Sus scrofa: one gene and its partners. The protein of the gene in region 3 interacts with the protein of the main gene of each other region in a pairwise test. Links are inferred from orthologs where the notes say so. Each region holds a gene or a part of one and is shown on either strand. Other genes may lie near its edges.

Region 1 (8,227 bases), on a different chromosome or scaffold from region 3:
CCCTCCCAGCCCAGCCCCCGAAAGAGGAGGGAGCCGGAGCTGACGAGCAGCGCCCCCTACCGCCCGGAGGCCCTAGCTGTGCCGGGTCCTCTGGCTTCGCGCCTTGTACACTTCGATGAGCAGATCCTTGACATACTGGATCTCCCGCTCCACCGACTCCGCCCTCTCCCTCAGCTCCCGGTTCCGCGCCTCCAGCCCCTGGCACTCGCCCTCCAGGGCCTCGCCCTCTGCACGCTTCCGCTGGCGGTACCTCAGAGCTGCGGACTTGTTCTGGTCTCTCTTCTTTTGCTTGCGGTCCCCTCGGGGGGTGGCAGGATTCGGGTAGGGGGCCGGGCGAGAGGCTGGAGGCGGAGGCAGAGGAGGAGGAGGAGGGGGCTGCTGGGGGGCGGGCAGGGGCGCCAAGCCCGAGTCCCCCGGCCCGGCCTCACTGCGGCAATAGATGGCCAGCAAGTCGAGGGTGTCCAGGGCAGGGGGCTGGGGGAGGTCAAAGGTGGGGAGGGGGAGAGGGAGGGAGGGTGCTGGTGCTGGCGGTGGCGGCGGTGGGGAGGTTGGTGGGAGCAGTGGGGCATCGAGGAAGAAGTCTTCCATCTGTTCCAACTCCTTCTTGAGGAGGGAGGCCATAGCTTCCAGGTCGGGGGCAGGTGGGGAAGTTGCGGAGAGGGCACCCGAGGGCAAGGGGGGCTCCAGAGGGAGAAGGGCTGTAAAGTCCACCCGCTCGGTCATCCAGTCAGAGAAGCCGTCACCTGGAGGATTGGAGAGGGACAGAAAGTTCCTTGAGTTCCCAGTCCTTCAGCCAGCCAGGTCTCACCCCTGTCCGCCTCATTCACCCCATTCATTCGGTAAAACCAGCAACCAGTCAATCAGTCAACCAACCAATGAATAAACCAAGAGACTAGCCAACTACCCAACCCATCAACCAAACAGCTAACCAGCCAATCAACTGAGTCAACCAACTGCTAATCCACAGACCAATCAACCTATTAACTAAGCAATCAATGAATAAGCCAACCAACCACGACCCACTCAACGAAACAGTCAACCATTTCAAGCCTTTTGTTTGTTTGGTTTGCTTTTTAGGGCCCCACTTGCAGCATGTGGAGGTTCCCAGGGTAGGGATCGAATTGGAGCTGTAGCCACCGGCCTACACCACAGCCACAGCAATGCAGGATCCAAGTCGTGTCTGCAACCTACACCATAGCTCACAGCAACGCCGGATCCTTAATTCACTGAGTGAGGCCAGGGATGGAACCCGCATCCTCATGGATACTAGACAGGCAGGTTAACTGCTGAGCCACGAAGGGAACTCCTCCAACACCCTCACTCTGCACCTGCGGTTTCTTGATTTTCCCTCTAGTTCATTCTCAAATGGCAAACTAGATCACACATAAACACACCTGATTTCATCTTTAATTATTATCGTCTTTTTAGGGCTGCACCTGCAGCATATGGAGGTTCCCAGGCTGGGGGTCGGATCAGAGCTGTAGCCACTGGCCTACACCACAGCCACAGCAACTCCAGATCCTTGACCCACTTTGCGAGGCCAGTGATCAAACCCGAAACCTCATGGTTCCTAGTCGGATTCGTTTCTACTGCGCCACAATGGGCACTCCTCCCCCTGTCTTTTCATGGCTCATTCCGTACCATTTTTTTTTTTTTTTTGGTCTTTTGTCTTTGTTGTTGTTGTTATTGTTGCTATTTCTTGGGCCGCTCCCGCGGCATATGGAGGTTCCCAGGCTAGGGGTTGAATCGGAGCTGTAGCCACCGGCCTACGCCAGAGCCACAGCAACGCGGGATCCGAGCCGCGTCTGCAACCTACACCACAGCTCACGGCAACGCCGGATCGTTAACCCTCTGAGCAAGGGCAGGGATCGAACCCGCAACCTCATGGTTCCTAGTCGGATTCGTTAACCACTGCGCCACGACGGGAACTCCCGTACCATTTTTTAAGCCTCAGCCAAAATGTTACTGCCTTGGAAAGGGTGTCCCAGCTCCCCACTGTAAACTAGTCCTCGCTGTCGCTTTTGAGCTCAGCTACTGTTTCCTGCTTATCCCCACACATCGTCATTTGTCTCTTGTCTGTCCCCAGTAGAGTGTGAGCGCCAAAAGGGTAGGCACCACGTCGGTCTTGTTCCCAGCTGTATCCCCAGCACCTAACAGTGCCTGACATATTATAGGTGCTCAGGAAATATTTATTGAAGGAATAAATACACGAATGAATGAATTCTTCTTCTCCCCTGCCCCCTGACCCCAGCTCACTCCATGACTCCACCTCCATTCTTTGCCTACCCTTACCTGCCAGGGGCTCTCCCCCCCCTGGAAGCCCGCCCTCCAGGGCTCCCCCAAGGACCTCATAGGGGCCCAGGGGGGCAGGGGCCAGGGGGAGTTTCCCATAGTCTACGAGCCAGCCCAGCCCGCTAGCTGGGAGCAGGGTCCTGTCCAGCTCCAGCCCCAGGGTCGCCAGGAGTGACATGGCTGCAGCTCGGGTGCGGGGCACAGATGGCAATGAAGGAGGCTGCACCAACAGCTGGCAGGAGGCTCTGGAGATTACTCAGCTGGGCGAAGACGGGCACCAAGGCGAGAGTGGAGGACCTACGAGTGGGAGACAAAAGTGAGTGGGTTAGGGGCCAGCCTCGCCAACGGCCAAGGCCATGGGGAAACCAAGCGATACCCCCTCAGGTCCCCAGGATTCCTTACCTTTTGGGAATTCTACATCTGCCCTTTCTTTCCTCAAATGGGGACCCCACCCATTCCCAAGGGAATTTTCTTTAGGCCCCGACTTACTTTTCCTCAGAATTCCCTAGACCCAATCCTTCCAATATTGAAACATAATGGTGTCCCAGGGGAATTACCTTAAGACCCTCCCACCCACCCCATAATACTATCTCTCATGGAAAAAAAAAAAAAAAAAAAACACAAAAACCTCAATCCCAGGGGAATTTTCTTCCAGCCACACCTCTTGCCCTAAAACATATCCTTTAGGCCCCACCCTGTCCCTAGATTCCTGCTGTGAATCTGTTCCCAGGGGAATCCCCCTGCCCCGCCCCTTCATCAAAATCCTCCATTCAAATCCCATTCTTCCCTTCGAATTTTGCAGTGGTCTCCCGTCCCCCCAAGCCCTGCCCCCTGGTTTATTAGCTCCACCCTCCCCGACGATTCCCAGAGGCCCCGCCTCTTTCTCAATATAAACCCCACCCCCTCAGCGCACGGCGCGCTTAGCCACGCCCCTTCTCCCAAAGGGTACCCCGCCCCCGCCCCACCCTCCGCGACGTCTCTTATCCTAGCTCCCGTCCCTTAACTGGTCGTTTCTAAGCCCCGCCTTCTCCCCCCGCCCCCGCCCCCGTAGTTGCTTGAAAGAAAGGGAGGGAAGACGTGCTTTTACGCCTGAGCAAACTGGAGGGAGGCGGAGGGTGGAGGGGGGCGGGATGAGAACAGCTCCCGACTCCCCCTCCCCCCACCCCCGTACACGGCTGTCTCGCCGAGGGCCAAAGCGCAGGCTCCAGCCCCAGAGCTGTCCTATTGCCCCCGCAAGGCTCCGCCCTCCTCGGGATCAGTGCTGCGCACGTGCGGCTGCTGCTCGTCAGCCCTTTGCTCCGAGATACAAGCGCCGGTGGATCTGAGCAATCGCTGATTGACAGACTCAATCAGAGCGGGGAGGAGGGGGGAAACCCACCCTCTCTGGGAGCTAGTGCGCAGGCGCAAACGCATGTGGTCGTCTTTAAACGCCAACATTGTCTGGAAGAACGCACCCTCCCCCCATCAGCTGAGTGCGCATGCTCCGCAGCGCGCAAACGGAGCGTCTTGTCTCTTCTGCGCCTGCGCGACCGTGATTCCTCACTCTTGTCTCCCCACCCCCCCGAGCCCGGTGGTGAGGGCCGCGAGCTTGGAAAGGGCGGGAAAGACGGTTGGAGAGGGAGGGGCGAGCGAGCGGTTACTCACTCCATGGCTGCGGAAAGAAGAGGCGGCGGTGGCCTCAGCTGAAGAAAGACGGCAGGAGCGGAGAGCGCAGGCGCGGTGAGCACGGCGACTGGCCGGGGGCACAGAGGGGTCGCGGCTACAGAGCCATGGCTGGAGCTACGCGGGCGGAGGAGGTGTCGCGGTACTGTGAGGAGAGATTGTGATCTGAGGATGGGGAATGAGGCGGCCCGGGGGACTGGGGACAGATATACCGGGGGCGGCGCAGCACGGCGTGCCCGGATCCTTCCGCGCCCCGCCCCGCGCTGCCCCAACCGGGAGGCGGGCTTGGCCTCTAGCCCTCGGGGATCCCGGGGACTGTCCCCCACTTCCGACCAGGGCGTTCAGCCCTCCCCTTCCTCTGACCTGAGGATCTGGCCCTGCTTTGCTCCCGACCCCCTGGACCACCCCCACTCGGGTGGGGCCCCTTTCTCCTTCTGATCCGGGGTCCGGCTTTCTGTTCCCTCTCATTCTGGTGGTTCAGCCTCACCTCTTCCCCGATCCCTGCACGAGTTCATTTCTCCTTTCCTTTCTCTTGCTTCACGAATTTCCGGCCAGCCACGTGCTGATCTCTTCAACTGCCACGGCACTCTGAGAACCCTTGTTGTGGCTTAGGATCTGGTTTGAGTCACAGACCGCGCTCCATTCAAATCGCAGACGGGCGCGGGTGGCCTTGGGCAAATAATTTAAATTCTCTAGCCTCGTAGATAGGGAACTACCTGTAAAATGAGAATAATCACCTCTTCCTAGTGGGGTCGTTTGTGAAAATCCGTGCAGTCGGTGTCTGTGAAACCAGCCCTCCTTCATGCCTGGTCCAACCGCTTTTATTATCCATAACAAGGACCTCTGGGGACCAGTCTCACCCCTTCCAACTCCCCTGGCCAGAGCCCCAGACTCGACCATCCAACACCTGCTAATAGATCATTCTTGTGTCTCCTTCGCTCTAGCATCCCTGCCCTCCCCCATTTCAAACGATGGACGCTCAGCCCCATCCTGCTGCCGGGAGCAAGGCATCATTGCCCAGACTCTCGTGTCCATCCCCTGCTGGCTTCCCCTTAGCCCTTATCCTTAGCACGCCTTTCAGGCCCGTTGGTTCATTCTTCTGTCCCTGCCCCTCACCTAGACGTCCTTTCAAATGGTTTTCTACCTCCGTGCACCCCACCCTCACCCCCAGATCAGTTTTCCACCTTTGCCAGACTTAGGGAGATCTGTAGTTCCATTTGCTGAAAGAGATGGGGCTTCCTGGCCAGTCCCTCCCATTACACAGGGCCTTCCACCAGACCCCGTAGACGAGGGTCTTTGCTGCAAGCCCCTCTCCTCCCCCATTCATCCACATCTAGACGTTACACCTGGAGTACAACTTTTCAGGACTTTGGTGGTGGTTATGAGACTGAGTCAAGATCCAAAGGTGGGAGACCCAGATCTTGAGTTACCTGGAATGATACATGGGCCTCTTTTGTTTTGTTCCATGTGCATGTGCTTTTTTTTTTTCCAGTTTTACTCAAGATATAATTAAACTTTATAAATTTAAGGTGTACAGTATAACAATTTGATTACCCATAAGTTTAGTGAACATTTATCATTTCCTGTAGATGTGAAATTAAAGATATAGAAATAGGGAGTTCCCATTGTGGTGCAGCGGAAACGAATCTGACTAGCATCCATGAGGATGCATGTTCAATCCCTGGTCTTGCTCACTGGGATAAGGATCCAGCGTTGCCATGAGCGGTAGTGTAGGTCGCAGATGTGGCTTGGATCTGGTGCTGCTGTGGCGTAAGCCGGCACCTGTAGCTCCGATTCGACCCCTAGCCTGGAACCTCCATATGCCTTAGGTGCAGCCCCGAAAAAGACCCAAAAAAGTAAATAAATAGATACTTAGAAAAAATACATATTTCTTTTTTTCTTTGGCAACTCCATGGCATATGAGTTCACAGGCCAGGAATCAGATCCGAGCCAAAGGTATGACATATGGAAGGGTTTATTCTCTCTCTCTCTCTCTCTTTTTTTTTTTTTTTTTTTTTTGCTTTTTAGGGCCACATCTGAGGCATATGGAAGTTCCCAGGCTAGGGGTTGAAATGGAGCTACAGCTGTCAGCCTACGCCACAGCCACAGCCATAGCTATGCAGGATCCCAGCCACATCTGTGACCTGCATCACAGCTCACAGCAACACCAGATCCTTAATCCACTGAGCAGGGCCATGGATCGAACCTGCATCTTCATGGATCCTAGTCTGGTTCGTTAACCACTGAGTCACAAAGGGAACTCTGGGTTTATTCTCTTAATAACTTTGATATGTAACATACAGCAGTGTTAATTATACTGATCATTTGATATATTACATACCCAGTACAGGCTGCTCTTCCTACAGGAAGCCCTTTTTGGGATCTGACCCCGTTCCCTTAGAGTACTTCCTGTCCACTGTGCCAGTATTTGAGCACTTGTCCTTTGGGGCCACATTATTACCTAGGCGGCATGGAGTAGTAGTTAAGAGCACAGACTCTGGAGGCAAGTTGTTGGATTCACACCCTGACTATACCCCACTTATTAGCTTCCTGGCAGTTTCGCTGTGCCTCGGTTTCCATTAATAGTGCCAGAACAGAAGTCCTCTGGTGGCCTAGCAGGTTGGGGATCTGGTGTTACCTCTGTGGCTCTGGTTATTACTTGGTGAGGGTTTGGTCCCTGGTCGGGAAGTTTTGTGGGCGCAACCAAAAAAAAAAAAAAAAATAGTGCCAGGATAAAAGTGACTAGAAAGTGCCAGGAGTTTAGTGACTAGAAACATACAGAAAGTGCCAGGAGTTTAGTGACTAGAAACATACAGATGTAAGTGGCTGTCCGTAGTGCCTCCTTCTTAGTGTTGTCTGATATTTAAATGAGTAAATCCAGGCCACCTGCTCATAGCCTAGTTCCTGGCACACATCAGGTGCTACATAAGCGGTTTCTGTTGTTACGGAGGTGGATATGTTTTCTCCATTGCTAAGCCGTAGTGCTTTCAAAGGCCTTTTAAGTGAGAAGTAAGGACCTCCTTCTCCTTGCCCTCCTCAGTGTAGGTACTTGAGCCATAGCAGGTAGGATTAGGGTCGACTCTTGGGCAGGCTGTTGGCAACGAGGGGGCACAGTCCCCCCACTCTTCTCTTGAAAAGACCTTCTAGGTCATGACGGGTGGACTAGGCAGAGTATTTTTCTTTGAATAAACTTTTTATTTTGGAATAATTGTAGATTTATAGAAAAGCTGTGAAGGCCGTGCAGAGGAGTAGAAGTCGGTGCCTTTACATTGCCATGGCGCACTTGTCACAACACTGGAGTCAACATCAGCCCCTTTCTATCGCCTCAACTCCACCTGGTCCTCGGATTTGGCCACTTGTTCCCCAACGCCCCTCCTCTGTTCCAGGATCCCCCCAGGATGCCACGTTACACTTAGTGGTCGCGTCTCCTTGGCTGCCTCTGGTCTGTCTGCGGAGGCTTTTTCAGACTTGCCTTGTCTCAGGATCTCGATGGTCTTGAAGAGTATGGGTTGGGTGCTCTACGGACTGTCTCTCCATTTGGTTTTGCTCGTAGGTGGAGATTATGGGGTTTTGAGGACGGCCAGGTAGAATGCTTTTTAACAACTGCAGACGAACTTAACTGGGTATGGGAGTCATGTTGCCAGTTGCTTGTGGTGTATGCTGACTGAGAAGCCCCTGGTCCCTGCTCCCGGCCCCTTGTGCCTTTCTCTCGCTCCAGCTGCTGGCTCCCACAGAGTTAAGTCCTGATGCCAACTGCCCTACCCAAGCAGCCTGAGTCCCTTCTGCTGAGCGGGTGCCAGCGGGCACTTAGTTCCCCAGCATATTCGAGTTTATGGGCAGTGGGTCGTCAGTGGTGCCGGTAAGCCCGGGTCTTGGCGCCCTGAGCCCTCTCCCCATGCCTGGCCCTGATCTGGATCCATGGCCCCTCCAGGACTCAGATGCCTCCCCCACCCCTACTTCCCAGACACCTCCAAGGGTCCAGTACCCCAGGCCCTCCAACTCCTCAGCTGGGGCTGGGAGCATGGGTGGAGCTGCTGGGGACTCTTTTTCAGTGCGGAGGAGCTAGGTTGGGGAGTGAGGCGGTTATTGCAGGCAGGTTGCATCACCCTGGCTCTTTGATGGGGAGGGGGAGTGGGGGGATTCCCTGGGGGCCCCCCTGCACACCTGGCAACTGGAGCCCTGGAGCTGAGGATCTGGCAGAGGCCCCAGCAGAGCAGGGGAGGGGGCCAGGGAGGGGGGAAGGAGAGCTCCCTGTGCAGGACCCTGAGAATCA
Region 2 (8,027 bases), on a different chromosome or scaffold from region 3:
ATTTTGAAAATGGGGTATTGAATACGCTATTATTGAATTGTCTTCATTTCTGTTTTTACCGCATGTATTTTGGCGCTCTGTTATCAGGTGTATGTGTTTTTAATTGTTAGAGGTTCTTTATAGATTGATACTTTCATCATTAGGAAATGTTTCTCATTATCTCTAGTAAATTCTTTTAAGTGGCCACATGTGCTGCATATGGAAGTTCTCGGGCTAGGGGTTGAACCTGAGCTGCAGCTGCTGGCTTACACCACAGCTGAGTTAACATTGGATCCATAACCCACTGAGAGGCCAAGGATGGGATCAAACCTGTGTCCTCAAGGACACTATGTCAGGTTCTTAGCACACTGAGCCACAACCGGAGTTTTTTTTGTTTTCAAGTCTATTTTATAGTGTGATAGTTGAATAGCCACCCCACCTTTCTTGAGGTTGCTGTTGGGCATAATGTATCTTTTCATCCTTTTCTTTCAAATCTCTTTGTATATCTTAATCTAAAGGGTGTCTCTTATAGACAGAGTGTAGTTATATCTCTTTTTTTAAATCCAATCTAACAATTTCTGCTTTTTGATTGTGGTGTTTAATCCATTCACATTCAACATTAGTTTTAACTGGATTTATCACATCTGTCATTTTTTTGTTTTTTATGCATGTCTTATGTCTTATACTCTAGTCCTCCTTTACTACTTTCACTTACTACAGGTAAATAATGAAGCATTTTAATTTCAGTAATGACTTTTATTTGGTCTTTTGTCTTTTTAGGGCCACACTTGTGGCATATGGAAGTTCCCAGGGCAGGGGTTTAATCAGAGCTACAGCTGCCAGTCTACAGCATAGCTCACAGCAACACCGGATCATTAACCCACTGAGTGAGGCCAGGGGTCGAACCTGCAACCTCACGGTTACTAGTCAGGTTTGTTAACCACTGAGCCACACAACGGGAACTCCGAGTAATGACTTTTTAACTATTTTTTTTTCTTAGTGGTTTCTTTAGGGCTTGCATGTTTTTTTTTTTTTTCCCCTTTGTGCTCTTTTTGCTCCAGGTTTATTGAGATATAATTGACCTGCCACGTTGTGTTAAAATGTACAGTGTGATGATTTGATACACATGTATGTTGCATTATGATTACCACTATAGGTTAGTTAACATCCATTACCCAGCTTTTTCTTGGTAGTAAGAACATTTAAGATCAACTCTCAAACAGTACAGTTAAACTATAGTCATCATACTGCTTATTAGATCCCCAGAACTTATTCATCTTATAAATGGAAGCTTGTCCCCTTTGATCAATCTCCCCACTTCCTCCAACTGCCACATATAATCTTTATTTATGAAATCCAGCTTCAAATGTATACTGAATTCAGTGGTACATAGAATTGTACCTCCTATGTAACTTTCCTTTTTGTTATTTATGTGATAATACTGCTACACATTTATCCATAAACGTTATAAATTTAAAAATACATTTTTTATAAGTTTTAAGAGCTGAGAGAAAAAATGAATACAAATATTCATTTATAGCTTTTGTTACATTAACCTTATTTACCATTTATGATTCTCTTTATTGGCTCATGGGGATTTGAGTTGTCGTCTATAGTCATTTCCTTCAGGACAGTACAGCTTTGCTCTTCATTGTCTTTGTGCTGTTTTTGGCAAATATATATCACATTCATATATGTATGAATTATATGTATATAATTTTTAAAATGTCAGTTGAAAATATGTACTTTCTACTGTCTTTCCAGCTACACAGTTATCTTTACCATTGCCCTTTGTTTTTTCATGTGTATTCGAATTACTGTATGGGGTCACTTTTAGTTTGAAGAACTTTCAGTATTTTCATGCAAGATGGTTGTGCCAGTAGCACATTTTCTGTCTTTGAGATTTCACTTTCAGTTATGAAAGATAACTTTGCTGGATGCTAGATTCTTAGGTTTTACCTTGTCCGTTGTCTCATAGCCTCCATTGTTTCTTTTGTCTTTTCAGGCCCACACCTGCGGCACATGGAGGATCCCAGGCTAGGGGTCAAATTGGGAGATGTAGCCGCTGGCCTATACCACAGCTACAGCAATGCCAGATCCAGGCCGCATTTGCAGCCTACACCACAGCTCATAGCAATGCCAGATCCTTAATCCACTGAGCGAGGCCAGGGATCAAACCTGCCACTCGTGGTTGCGGGTGGATTCATTTCTGCTGCACCATGACAGGAATTCCATCATAGCCTCCATAGTTTTTAATGAAAAGATGTTACTTACTGGGGTTTCCTAGAAAGCAAAAAGTTGCTTTTCTCCTGATGCCATCAAGATTTTTTCTCCCTTTCTTTGGCTTTCAGCTTTTTTACTCTATATCTGGGCATTAACCTCTTCACATTTATCCTACTTATGTGTAGATTATTTTTAAAATAAGTTTGGGAAGGTTTTGGCCTTTGATAATTATTTTCTGCTTCTCTTTCCTTATGTTACTCCCATTATGTGTATCTTGGTGTGCTTAGTGGCATGGCATATTTCTTTGAAGCTCTGTTAACTTTTTTTCTCTGTTCTTTTGGATTGCACAACTTTAGCTTCAGGTTTGCTTTTTTTTTTTTTCTTTGCAAATTCAAATCTCTTTTATCCTCCAGTGAATTTTTTGTTACTGTAATTTTTTATTCTAGATCTGGGTTCACATACCGTTAATTCCTTCTGTTGCTAACTGGATTTTAGTAGATTTTCTTGAATATTTTTTTCCTCATTTGTTGTATGCCTTCAGGGCCATTTCCAGACACTATTTTTTAAGTATATTCACTTTATTGTGAAACAGATCTCCAGGACTTTTTCATCTTGCAAATCTTAAATCCTATATGTACCCTTCCAGACACTTTAAATGGTTGTTTTAAATACAATTTTCACCCATTTCATGGAACATCTCATAGTAAGTATTATGCGAAAAATCAAATTATTTCTCAGAATACTCTTATTCTTTGTCAGGTCACAAAAGAAGACAAGTCCTTCCAGAATATTATGCGTTGCTATAGGACTCAGCCACAAGCCCGAAGCCAGGTAACTACACTTTCTTTTAGAGCTGAAAATAAAGATAAAAGTCTTTGATGAATATGAAAAAATTAACTACAGTTGATTCTATGGCCTTTTCTCCAGAATAAACACCTAAGACTGTGAGATCTTTGCATTTGACTTAGAATGACTTGATTTTATGGTTGGATACTATTACTGTATTGTAGGCAGTACCTTGAAGTACTGCCTGATAGACCCTGGTATAAATCCAATATCTGTTATTTACTAAGATATATAACCTTGAGTGTACTTATTAACCTCCCATGAGTAGGACAACGATTACTATATGGAATTGTGAGAATTGAATAACATGTTAATATCAAATAGTCTAGAATGTGCTTGATAAATACTCATTTCAGTTCCTTTCTTATAATCTTTCTAAAGGTGTATAGAAGCGTTTTGATAAAAGGGAAAAGGAAAAGGAGAAATTCTGGCAGCAGTGATAGTAGAAGTCATCAGAATTCTCCAACAGAACTGAACAAAGATAGAAGTAAGTGGGATCTTTATGAACTTATAAAAAATTAGGAGTTTCTCTTGTTTTAGCCCTAGAAGACTAAGGATTACTAAATGAAATTACTGTTATGGAAGCCATGAAAGTATTTTATTGGCAAAAGATTTGTTGGAACAATAAACCAAACTCTAAATTTAGTAGCAAAGTTGTTTATCCTTTATCCCAGGGCTTTGAGACACGTTGTGCATAATATTTTTCTCCTGGGAAATTAGAGAAGTGAGGCATTTTTTTGACCTGAGTTCCAGAAAAATGTGGCATGTCCACTGAAACCATGCTATGGAAATACCATCCTTAATTGTTGGTTGACACCAGTCAATGCAAAGCTCAGGTCCTAAAAAACTTGGTATCAAGTTAAAACTACTCAGTAAACCTTTGCTGTGGTAATAGCATGGTAGTATAAGTTAGTACTTAATAGTATCTGTGCTTCACTCCCTGGTATGTAGAATAGAGCACCCACCTGCTGCCATTTAAACAGGTAGAGCAGGTAGTGTATCTAAATGAAATTTTTTTTTTTTTTTTTTTTTTTTTGCTTCTTAGGCCCACACCTGTAGCATATGGAGGTTCCCAGGCTAGAGGTCGAATGGGAGCTGTGGCTGCCTGCTATAGCCACAGCCACATGGGATCTGAGCCATGTCTGTGACCTACACCACAGCTCATGGCAATGCTGGATCTTTAACCCATTGAGCAAGGCCAGGGATCAAACCCACATCCTCATGGATACTAGTCAGATTCGTTTCTCCTGAGCCAAAACAGGACCTCCTGACTGAATTTTTTAAAAAATAGTCTGCATTAGCAGTCTTCAACACTTTGTTCTACCGGTTGCAGCCAGTAGAGACTCCAGTCCTGTCATGAGGTCAAGCAGCACCTTGCCTGTTCCACAGCCCAGCAGTGCCCCTCCTACACCTACTCGCCTCACAGGTGCCAACAGTGACATGGAAGAGGAGGAGAGGGGAGATCTTATTCAGTTCTACAACAGCATCTACATAAAACAAATTAAAACATTTGCCCTGAAGTACTCACAGGCAAATGTAGTAAGTATACTGAGAATTATTTCATACTTTTTTCACTTATGAGGAATCACCTTTTTTTTTTGAGGAATCATTTATGTTTGAGCTGCTTCTCTGTAAACTAGTTTTACATATAATTCTTTTGTTAAGACTAAGGAAGTCTCTAACAGAAATTATTTGCCTAACAATTTCTATTGTTGTGAAGCATTAATAAATAAGAGTAACAGGGTTTATTTGGCTTCTCTCAAAGTATAGTAGAAATTATCCAAAACTTACCAGCTCTGGTGACCTTGTGTATTATTTAACTTTCTTGGTGCCTCTCGTTTCCTCATACATAAAATGGGAACAGATGGAGGTTCCTTGCTTATAGGGTTGTTGTGAGATTAAATGACAGAATGCGTTAAAGATGCTTAAAACAGTGATTGTCACAAAGTAAGCCCTTAAATGTTTGCTACTGGTAGGGCTTTAAATGTTGCTAATACATCACTATCCACCATTCATAAAGCTATGGGTTTATTACACCTTTTCACACTTACACTAAAAACCATTTTAAAAAAACTAGTTAGAAACTTTACCTTTCTTAAAAATTGCAATTTTTTTTAACAGATGGATGCTCCTCCACTCTCTCCCTATCCATTTATAAGATCAGGCTCGCCTCGCCGAATACAGTTGTCTCAAAATCATCCTGTCTACATTTCCCCACATAAAAGTGAAGCAATGCTTTCTCCTCGAGAAAAGATTTTCTACTACTTCAGCAACAGTCCTTCAAAGGTGAGCCTAATCTAAATCTTGGCCTTTACTAACCCCACATACTTGAGTTAAGGCTTCTCTTGTGAAGTTCCATGGCTGCTTTAAAAATGAGTTAACATTGGGTGGGCATAATACTGTATAAAGTCATGCTATTTTTAAAGAAATGAAAATGGAGGTGTATGAAATTGATTAAATATGGCATAGCAGTGTGATCCTCTAACTTTTGTGAAAGGGAAAAAACCCCACAAATTTGTCAACTTTTGCACTGTGGTAAAGTGTATATCAAAATCACCTCTGGAGCTTTTTTTAAAAAACGAATACTCTGCCTCTATCCAAGTTATCAATCTCAGCCAGCTGAGAGGTGAAATTGGAAGGATATTAAATTTAGTAGTTCTTTCCTCTATAAAGATGTCTAAACTCCTCAAGGTAAACTGCTTAACTCATTGGAGGATCTTTGACTTAACATTGAACTATGTATATTAGAATTTTAATATTTTTATATCTATCCCCACCCCAGAGACTGAGAGAAATTAACAGTATGATACGGACAGGAGAAACTCCAACCAAAAAGAGAGGGATTCTTTTGGAAGATGGAAGTGAATCACCCGCAAAAAGAATCTGCCCAGAAAATCATTCTGCCTTATTACGCCGTCTCCAAGATGTAGCTAATGACCGAGGTTCCCACTGAGGTTAGTCTGTTGTATTGAACCTGTCTTTTCACAAACTCTGTTTAGCAGCATCATTTAATGCATGCTAGAATGTAGGGCTCTTTTCCTTAATCCTTCCAGTATCTTTAGGATATTTTTACTCATCCCAGCTGCCTTTTTTCCTACCACTCAGTGCTTGCCATTAAGGCTGCTGAGAATCCAAACTTGGATTTTTTTTTTTAACTCTTTGGCAAAGCTATTACAAGTATCGCAGAGAACAGAGTGTACTCAGATATCTGTGGGAGAGGTCTCTGTTAACATGTTCCAGCAGAGAAACTGTGTTTTAATTCATTCCTACCTGTTTTGTGGTCAGCTCTAGCCCTCATGAAAAGCCAAACAAAAACTAGGTATTTTGTCCGAAAAAATTTGGTAGGAGTGAAAGATTTTTGCATTCCTAAAAGGTAGCAAGATAGTGCCCGATTTGGAGGTCCTAGGTTATTAGTCCAAGTCTCCCATTCCCTTTGTGTAATTTCTTTCCTCTCCCCATTAGGTGTGGTGCAGTGTGACAAGTGCTTGATTGTGTGCAATGTGTGAGTGAACCTATAAGAAGTGGCACTTTAGGGCTGTAAGAAGCATGATTTTGTAACCCAGATTTTGCTGTATATTTGCAATGGCACTTTCTACAATGTGAACTTTATTAAGTACAAAACTTCTAGGCTGAACTTAATTCAGTGTCCTCTTTGATGCTTTTGTACTTTTTTTAAAAACTGTTAAAGCCCCAGTAGCTACCTTTTGGACATGTGTTTTAAATTCTCCAGTTTTTTGTTAATAAGGATCAACGGGCTAAGTAAAGATTTTAAATCAAGTTGAATTAAGGGATTATGAAAAATTATGACCTCTTCCTTTAGGAGGTAGTTATCCAAAAGACACGTGTCTTTATTACGGTGAAATATTTTAAATATCTTTGGGTGTGTTCCTGGCAGTTAAAAAAATAAAATAGGTTGGAGAATTTGGGGTTTTATTAGTACATAGTACCGTTTTTACAAATTAGAAAATGCTAATTTAACAGCTATTGAATTATATATATATACATATATATATACACACACACCTTTATTAATCATTATTATTCCAGCAGTTTTCAAGTTGAATAATCTTATTAGGGAGAAAATTCAATTGTAAATTGAATCAGTATAAACAAAGTTACTAGGTAACTTCATATTGCTCTGAAAGAAATACGGAACTCACACTGTTCACCTAGAATAGTGTTCTGCAAAAATATTTATAAAAACCTCTCAAGATACTGCTACTGTAATTTTATATGAAAATAAGTGTATTTTTCAATAAAGCGTTTATAAATTACTCTTTGTTTAGTTATATTGAGAAAAGGGTTTCAGTTTCCTGGATAAATGACAAAGAACAATCATTTATTGGTTTATTGTCTCTACAAAACACATTAGTCATTCATCATTTAAATATCTGACTTCATTAGAAACCATTTTAACACTTTTTCTCCCTCCAGCCATAAAAATACAGTGAGTGATTTGCTTTAAAAAAAAAAAAAAAAGCTATGAACAAGTGTTCTGGTTTCCTCTCACTCACCTAGTATGTCCCTCAGTGACAGTGTCTGTGTATCAGTAACACAGTAGGCTGAAGACTGAGGTTCCAAGGATCTTCCGCTTAAAAGTGCTATTAGCTATGGAAACTGCTCCCCTCTACCTCTCCTCTCCATGTACAACTAAAACCGCTGATTTAAAAATCATTAGATAGTGCTGAACTCTGTCTACTCTATTAGTTTAAATGAATGCAACTTACCTTTAGCATTATACTCAGAAAAATACTTTAAGCCTCAAGGTCCCCAATAATTTGGAGTACTGAACTAGATAACCACCTTAAAGACACTTCTGACAGAAGTAATGCATTACGTAAAGAGAGGTTTCCAAAACTTGCTGTTAGAACCTAAGCATACATGGACAACACTGACACCAGTCCCCGTTCACACCGCTTTACTCTGCACGCAGTCCTCTGCCACTGGTCAGCTGTAACCAGCCCAAGTCCAGCAGGAAA
Region 3 (8,227 bases):
GTGATACATGCTGCAACATGAATGAACTTTGAAAACACTGTGCTAAGGGAAATAAACCAGTCAGCCAGTCAAATACTTTAAGATTTCACTTGTATGAGGTATCTAGAAAAAAAGAAAATTCAGAGAAACAAAAGATAGTTTAGGAGTTCCCATCGTGGCTCAGCGGTAATGAACCTGATGAAACCACGAGGATGTGGGTTCAATTCCTGGCCTCCCTCAGTGGGTTAAGGATCTGGCGTTGCCGTGAGCTGTGGTATAGGTCGCAGACGTGGCTCAGATCTGGCGTTGCTGTGGCTGTGGTGTAGACCAGATAGCTGCTGCGATCTGACCCCTAGCCTGGGAACATCTATATGCTGCAGGTGCAGCCCTAAAAATACAACAGCAACAACAACAAGAAACCAACCGTGAGAACCTCTGAATTCCAAGATCTTTGCAGGAACTGAATTCTTATCTATTGAGAGCTATGAATCCCCTCCTCCAGGACAGAAGTCCTCAAAGTGTGGTCTGGAAATCCCTGGATGTCCCTGCAATCCTTTCCCGAGTGCATAGGTCAAAACCATGTTAATAATAAAATGAGACATTCTTTGACTTTTTTTACTCTCATTCTCTCATGTAGCTTTCCAGAGGCTCTGTCACCTGTGATGACATCAGAGTTCTGAGGGATAATGGAATGTGTGCTTGCGCATTCCTAGTTTTTAAAATGTTCTCAGTTTTCTTGTTTTCGTTTCTTTTCCTTTTTTTGGCTGTGCCTGCAGCATGCAGAAGTTCCCACGCCAGGGATCAAACCTGAGCCGCAGAAGCATCCCAAGCTGCTGCAGTGACAATGCTGGATCCTTAACCCACTGCACCACAAGGGAACTCCTCAGTTTTATTTTCTAATGTGGCAAAAATCTCTTTCTATGAAGCCCATGTATACAAAACTCCTTGGGTTCCTCAATATTTAAGAGTTTTAGGGGTTCTACGAGTTTGAGATGGCTGCTTTCGGAAAACAGTTGGTATTTTGAAGTTCCAAACGTCAGCTGCAGAGGGTCACCTCATCCCAGATCATGCCCTTCCTGGGGCAGCCAATATCCTCGGGGGACTGATCAAAACTGGAGTGCAAGGCAGGGTTTTGGAGGCCTGATGTCAGATACTCTGATGGGCAGTAATCACTCTAGCATGCCCCACTGAGTTGGCCAATTCTTTATTTGGCCTGCACTGCAGTTCATCTTCTCCTTCAGCCTAAATCTTTCTCTCACATCCATTCATGAGGCTGATTTCCACTCCATCCCACCAAACGCCTTCGATACCCTCACCCCTCGTTCCACCCCACCCCCAAAAAGGCCCAAATAGGGAAATACATTGCACATGCAGAAGAGCCTATGTGAGATCATTCTATTTCCTCAAACCTCAAGATAATTCATTTTTAAAGTGTCTTCTTGGGGGAGGGAGTGGGGTGGACTGGGAGTCTGGGGTTAATAGATGCAAACTATTGCACTGGAGTGGATAAGCAATGAGATCCTGCTGTACAGCACAGGGAACTCTATCTAGTCACTTATGATGGAACATGATGGAGGATAATATGAGAAAAAGAATGATGCATATATATGTGTGACTGGGTCACTTTGCTGTACAGTAGAAATCGACAGAACACTGTATACCAACTATAATGGAAAAAATAAAAATCACTAATAAAAAAAAGTGTTCTCTTCCCATTTTATAAAACTTACTCACCTTCACCATTTGTTATCACATAGCATTTGATTTTATACTGTATGGCATCTATCTCACGGGAATTAATCCTGATTCTTCAACAAAATTGTGAGTTCTTTGAGCAGAGGGAACAGTGTAATAGCAGCACCTACAGGTCATCAAGAGCTGACAATGTTCCCAGCTTTGACCGTTTTACGTATACATCTCATTCATATTCACAACTCTGTGAGGTGCAAATTATCCCACTGCATAAATGAGGATATTGAGGTTCAGGAGGTTTATGGTTGATGGCTTACCCAAGCTATTAAGTGGCAGAGTGATGACTTACACCGAGGTCTAAAGATTCTAGAGCCTATAGATCACTTTGCTAGGTTCTTCTTTTTGTTTTTGTCTTTTTGCCTTTTCTAGGGCTGTTCCTGTGGCATATGGAGGTTCCCAGGCTAGGGGTCTAATCAGAGCTGTAGCCACCGGCCTACACCAGAGCCACAGCAACACGGGATCCAAGCCGCGTCTGCGACCTACACCACAGCTCACAGCAACGCCGGATCCTTAACCCACTGAGCAAGGCCAGGGATCGAACCCGAAACGTCATGGTTCCTAGTCAGATTCGTTAACCACTGCGTCACAAGGGGAACTCCACTAGGTTCTTCTTTTTCTTAAATCCTAATACTCTCTCAAGACAGAGCACAGATGTTTGGTTGACTCAGAAGGCCCCTTGTTTCCTGGTACTTACAGCTCTGCAGCATCTCTGTCAGTGTTTCCACAGATGCTTTCTCAGCGCTCTCAAACCCTGCCTCTGTTAACAGGGAGCTCACAACCACTTGCAGAGTTCGCCTCCGGGCCAGATGGTAGTTATCAGCAGGGTTAGTGGACTGTTTACTTCCTGATCTCTGTAAATCAGCAGCCCAGAAAGAGAATACTTTCATCCTCAGGACGAGGATGCAGTCATGTAGTTCACATATTGTCAATGGCAAACAAAGGTTCTTTTGCTAAATCTTTATGTATCAGTGTGGTAGCTCCTGATGTTTAGACTTACAGCTCTTCGCCAAATAACTGAGCACCCAAGTGGCTCTAAATTCGAAAACAGCCTTTCTGCCTAGGTAAAACTTATCAATTACAATAGTACAAAATGGCCGTTTCCTACTTTCTATTTTGGATTATCTGAATATATAGCTGAAGAAACATGCAGGATAGAATTGAATTCATTGGTCCATCTCCTAGAAAAAAAGTAATCTCTCTTTTGTCCCTCCCATCTCCACACCATTAACGAGGAAAATTAAAACAACAAACAACACATGCTGCTGAGTAGAGGAGGGCAAATGATAAGAACATCGACAAATTAAAAAGCTAAATATTTTGAAACAGGAATCCCTCCCAACTTTGGCGGGCCAATAAGAAGGCGAAAAGAGCCCCACTGGACCAATCAGGAGGTGTTCCGGGTTCCCAACCCCCAACAGAGAATGAGCCAATCAGTACACAGGTCCACCAACTCCCGAGGCCGCCGCCAAGTCTCGAGGAGGAGGAGGGGGGCATATACGGCCTGAAAGACCTTCCTCCACTCAGAGCATGTGGTGGGGCCCTATTTCTGGGTGTGAACATGTTGCCAAGGCTAGGGGGACATTACAGAATCCCCAGGCTCTCTGGGCTTCCGCCCCGCGCCTCCCGCCCTTACCGTTCCGGAGGCCCCGGCCCCGGCAGTGGCCGCCGCGTCGGCCATCTTGCTCTGGCGTAATGTGCGCGAGCGCACGGCAGGATGGGACTTGTAGTCACCCGGCGGGGAGGAACCGCGAGGGGGCGGGGCCGCGCGCCCCGTTGGGCTTTGTGGGGCCCAGCCGGGTCGGGGGTGAGTCTGGTTATCCCGGTTCACGTGACCTGTGAACGGTGGGTTCAGCGAGCCCCGGAAGTGGCTAGGAAAATGAGCCCTCGGTTTCACACCTATTTAAAAACGAAATCGTTTTTCATAAAAAGCACATCCCTGGAACGCTCCAAACTTGCCTGATTGTTAGCCACACCTGGCTAGGTCCGGCGGATCCCCGTGACTTTACTCTCTGGAGGAGGGGTCTTGGGCATCTGTATTCTTAAGTTCTCCAAGTGAGTCTCCTGAGCCTGGATATTTGGGGAAGCTTTGTTTTGTGCTGACGGACCCAGAGCCAGCCAATGGCCCACTTGGAACGAGAGCCAGCAGTCACGTAATCCAGGTGTGCCACTGCATCCGGCTGCCTTCTCGCCCTCAATTAACCCTCAGGTATTTTTGGGGCGAGCCGGGAGGCGTCGGCGGTAGGAGGCTGTCCGGTGCCTGCCTCACTCCCAGGCCGTGGAGTCTACGTAGTGCCTGTGGTTTTCTGCGGTTCACTCGCGGGTCAGCCCCTCTGGATGGGGGTCCTTCATGCACCGCGCCTCGTCTGTCTCCGTTTGCGGGTGCCCGGCAGCTCGCAGAGGCTGGGTTTGAATCTCAGCACTCGCCAGCTGTGGGACTTCGGGCAAATTACCTAACCTCACTTTGCCTCAGTTTCCTCTTTCGTGAAATTAGGGTGGGATGGGTAGCCGCGGGGGAGGGAATAAGCTAATATACACAGAGTTTATCACTGTGCAGACTGAGAGTAAGAGGTCAAGAAGCAGCGCCTAATGTTATTTATTTCTTGCGTGGCGAGTGGATGAGCAGAAAACGCTCACATGCAGAAGTCGGGGAAACCTGCGCCACGCCTGCCCCGCCGCGCGCACCTGAGCGTGGGGGGCGCCCGGTCCCCTCACCTGGGGCACAGGGGGCAGGTCTGACGGTCGGGGTCGCTGCGCGGGGTGAGCCACCCGGAGAAATCGGGCCCCAAACCTGAGTTGAGCAGAGCACCCAGCCCCTTTGTCTCCTCCGCCCCCCCTTCCCCACTTCCTGCCCAGCTTTAAACTCGGGATTGGCGGCGCGGCGCCGACTTTGTAAACACGCCGCGCCTGCGGCGGTGGAGACTGGTTCTGTTTGGGCGTCTGGGGGAGGGGTGCACGCCCCTCCCCGCGGCTGGAGGTGGCGACCCCCCACCTCGCCAAAGACAGAAACCAGAGGCGGCGGCGGGAGAGTGTCTGCGGCCACGGCCAGTGCTCCGGGGGGCTCACCTGCCGAGGAGGTAGGCTTGAAGGCTGGAGAAGCCAAGATAGATGGGTGTCAGCATCTCCCCGCTTCGCTGGGGCCTTCGAGCTGAGGCGGGACACCTGGGCGGGGAGTCGGAGGTGGCGACCTGATCAGCCTCCTCGATGTCTCTCAAAGCTCGGTTCACTTTCTCTCTGAGTTGCAGAGGCTGAAAGGCAGAGAGCTCCCCCAAAGCTCTGAACTTTCTCTGTGTCCACACAGGCCCTCTTCAAACTGATCTGGAAGCCTAGTGACTTCACTGGGCTGTCTGTCGTCCTTCTTCATAATTCAGAGATGGGGTGGGAGGCAGTAGGGGGGCAGACCCAGTGTGGGCAGCGAGCCTTGGGGGTCCTCCTGCCAGCCAGGGCTGAGGGAGGAGGCCAGAGGACTGGAAGGAGGAGCCTCTCAGTGGGGGTCCCTTTGGTGTCTGCGGGTTACACAAGTGACGGCTTTAGCCTCTTCTGTGTCTTTTAATGTGTCAACAAGAGGATTAACTGAGGAAATTGGTTGCTATTATTCAGAAAGCATTACGGTATTCATTTGCACACATTGAGCGCCTAGTATGTGTCTGGGATGGTGTGTGGGCGCTGAGGGTGCAGTGATGTTATTTGTCCACAGTGATCTAGCCTGGGTCATAGAACACCAGAGATAAGGTGCCAGGTTGGGGTGGCTGGGAAGGCTTCAGAGAGAAGAGGACATTTGAGTTGGCTTCTGAATGATGACTAGTCCCCAGGCAGAGGTGTGATGGGAAGTCTTTGCTGGGCACTTATTGATTCTGCAGAGCTGGACTCGCCCCTGACTGTGGCATTGGGCCTTGGAAAACAGTGGGCACCCAGAAGCCGTCTCGGCATTCTTTAACCCACTGTCTAGACATGAAGAAGAGATAGGAATGTAACAGGATGACTTTAGGGAAAGGCATGTGTCCGGGCTGGTCCCCAAGAACCCAGAAATTTCCAGCTGGACGAAGCTAGGAGAGTCCACCCCAGGGGTGATGTAACAGTCCACACAGTCCTGGGGCACCACCCACTCCCCGTCCCTGGATGCTGGGACTGCGTCCTCTACCAAGTCCTTGCACTGTGCCCTTTCTCTTTGGGACCAGAGAGTGAAGAGAACTGGATTCCCCCCATGCTTCCCTGTAGGTTCTTCTGCTTTTTCAGTCCCCAGGCTCCCTTGGGAGATGGCTGACACAGCAATGGATTCAACCATCCAACACCTGTTTGCTGTGGCCACACTGTCTGCACAGGACATAATGGTTGACAAGTCAGAGCCTCTGCTCCCCTGGACTTTAGGATCAAAAGCGACTCTGAGAATTCCAGCAGGAACCTAGTCTGTCCGGTCCTTGAGCCCATGACCTCCGAGTGTCTTCTCTTTGCCATTTCCTTCCCTAAAGGGTCCAGAGCAACAGCTAGGGCTTCTATAGCACTGTCAAGTACCCTCCTAAATGGTTTTGGTGTGATGTCTGGTTTAATTCTTCTGCCCGTCCTGTGAGGTGAGCGCTAGGATCATCTCCATCTTCTCGTTGAGGAAACAGGCACAGCGACCATTTTCCTAAAGAGGACACCAGGCGTAAATGGCAGGGCTGGGATTTGAACCCAGGTCGCTTGACTTGGGAGACCTGGGTCAGCTGACCTGTTCTTAACCATTAGGCCAGTCTGCCTCCTTGACCCACCACATGGGATGTGAGCCTTGAGCCAGGAGCTTAGATGTTTCCGAAAGGAAGCTGTGGTCCTGTATCTCAGGCGATACAAAGGAGAGCAGCAATCTGTTAGCTGAGCTTGGGTGCTGGTGCTATTTTCAGGGAGCTCCAGGAAGCCTGGAGAAGGGTTATCCGGACAACGCAGAGCTGGTATCCTTTGCTCATGGCCGTGTGTGTGTGTGTGTGTGTGTGTGTGTGTGTGTGTGTGTGTGTGTGTGTTTTATGTGTTTTCCTGAATGTGCATGTGTTGTGTGTTTTTCAGTAAGCCTTTGATGCAAAAAAGATGCAAGGAGGTGATGTGCCAGAATCTGGGGAGATGGGAAACCAAGCTTCCTCTTTTGTTGGGAATCTGTAACAAGAGCAAAGACCCTCATATTCTAGACTCCAAGGGGAACGGATCCCAGTTGGTAGCTGAGCAGGGAGGATGGTCGGAGAGCGGAGTCAATCTTAAGATGCGCACCTTTCCTCCCTGCAGTTGCTGCCTCCCAAAGTTGCATGAGAGCATCTAACCCCCCTCCTCTAGGCAGGCTGGGACCTTGCCCCTGGGTTCTTGGGGACCAGGCCACAGGACAGAAGTTCTATGGCTTTCAGCCATTTTCCCATCCCTTTCATGAACTCTCGCTTTCTCACATGAGCCCTCTGAACAGAGCAGATCTGGGGAGGCCCAGGAGCTGCCCCTCTCTGCCTGCAGTCACACCACCTTTAGTGTCTGTCTTTGAGGGAGGGGTGTGTGTTGGGGGTGGGGTGTTAGTGCCGGGAGTAGAGCGGGGCCGATCCGCGGTCGGTTGGTCGCAGGTAAAGCGGGATGTGACGGTCAGAACTAGGTAGACCTCCAGGCTGCTCTTCTCCACGCCCACCTCCCTCCCTCTCCGGGAATAGGGTGAGGTGTGGTGGCAGCCTTGGCACAGGCCCCCGCCCCCGGAGCTGCCTTCTCTGTTGAGAACAGGTTGTACTCTTGAGAAACCACAAGAGGAAGTTTAGGGAGCGCTGGGGGTGGGGAAAGTTCTGGGGCCCCTGCCAAGTTTCCCTTTCTCTGCTGAGTGGTAGGTGTGTTTATTTTGGTGTGTTTCTCTTGCCCTCAAAGACATTTAAATTTTAAACCCACTGAGTTTCACAGAGCTGTCAAGGCCTGTTCCGTTACAGTGTGTTTGTCTTGGAGGGGGTGAGAGTAGTCAGAGACACCCCTGGAAATGGCTTTGCAACAAGGTACTCAGTTTTTGGATTTCACCTCGGATTTGTGCTGGTTAGGAAAGGCCAGCTAACTTCACAAAGTCTTTTCTCGTCTCTGCCCTTTCACCTCCCTCTTCCCCAAAGCACTCCCTACAGCCTCAAACACTGGACAGTGTGGTTATAATGGCCACTTGGGAGCCAAATGATGTTGCCAGGAGCTGTCCTATGTGTTCCACCTGCCTTATCGCCTTTAATATTCACCATAACTCCAGGTAGTAAATGCCTCTATCCCCAATTTACAGATGAAGAGACTAAAGCACAGAAAGGCTTAGAATCTTGCCTGAGGTCACACAGCTAGTAGGTGGCAGAGCCCAGATTTGAACACTGGTCTGACTTCAGAGCCTGAGCTCTTGAGGTCTATTTAACCCTCAAATCAGAGCATCAACGTCTTCAGCATACCAAACCCCACACAATAGGAGGTTGAGATCTAAAGATGTTTTTAAATGGTGCTGCTAGTGTTGGGAGGGGGCGACTTGGGTATAGAATTGGAAGAG

The links.
Region 1: the proteins of CCND3 (region 3) and ATF5 interact in a two-hybrid assay, tested with the Homo sapiens proteins (2 studies listed by BioGRID and IntAct). The link is inferred for Sus scrofa from reciprocal best matches to the Homo sapiens genes CCND3 and ATF5.
Region 2: the proteins of CCND3 (region 3) and RBL2 interact in a two-hybrid assay, tested with the Homo sapiens proteins (2 studies listed by BioGRID). The link is inferred for Sus scrofa from reciprocal best matches to the Homo sapiens genes CCND3 and RBL2.

What each region holds. Positions count from the first base shown.
Region 1 is NC_010448.4:54,941,369-54,949,595, reverse strand, and holds the start of ATF5 (cyclic AMP-dependent transcription factor ATF-5), read right to left. Parts: upstream 4,530-8,227; 5' UTR 4,442-4,529; intron 4,216-4,441; exon of another isoform or gene 4,100-4,215; 5' UTR 3,937-4,099; exon of another isoform or gene 3,756-3,936; intron 2,590-3,755; 5' UTR 2,471-2,589; coding exon 2,293-2,470; intron 744-2,292; coding exon 73-743; 3' UTR 1-72.
Region 2 is NC_010448.4:31,757,218-31,765,244, reverse strand, and holds the end of RBL2 (retinoblastoma-like protein 2), read left to right. Parts: intron 1-2,961; coding exon 2,962-3,033; intron 3,034-3,429; coding exon 3,430-3,535; intron 3,536-4,381; coding exon 4,382-4,587; intron 4,588-5,169; coding exon 5,170-5,334; intron 5,335-5,830; coding exon 5,831-6,001; 3' UTR 6,002-7,527; downstream 7,528-8,027. UniProt on the Homo sapiens protein: Key regulator of entry into cell division. Directly involved in heterochromatin formation by maintaining overall chromatin structure and, in particular, that of constitutive heterochromatin by stabilizing histone methylation.
Region 3 is NC_010449.5:37,177,741-37,185,967, reverse strand, and holds the start of CCND3 (G1/S-specific cyclin-D3), read left to right. Parts: upstream 1-3,505; 5' UTR 3,506-3,890; exon of another isoform or gene 3,891-6,698; intron 6,699-8,227. Other genes in the region: TAF8 (transcription initiation factor TFIID subunit 8), read right to left, coding at 2,426-2,582, 3,365-3,409. UniProt on the Homo sapiens protein: Regulatory component of the cyclin D3-CDK4 (DC) complex that phosphorylates and inhibits members of the retinoblastoma (RB) protein family including RB1 and regulates the cell-cycle during G(1)/S transition.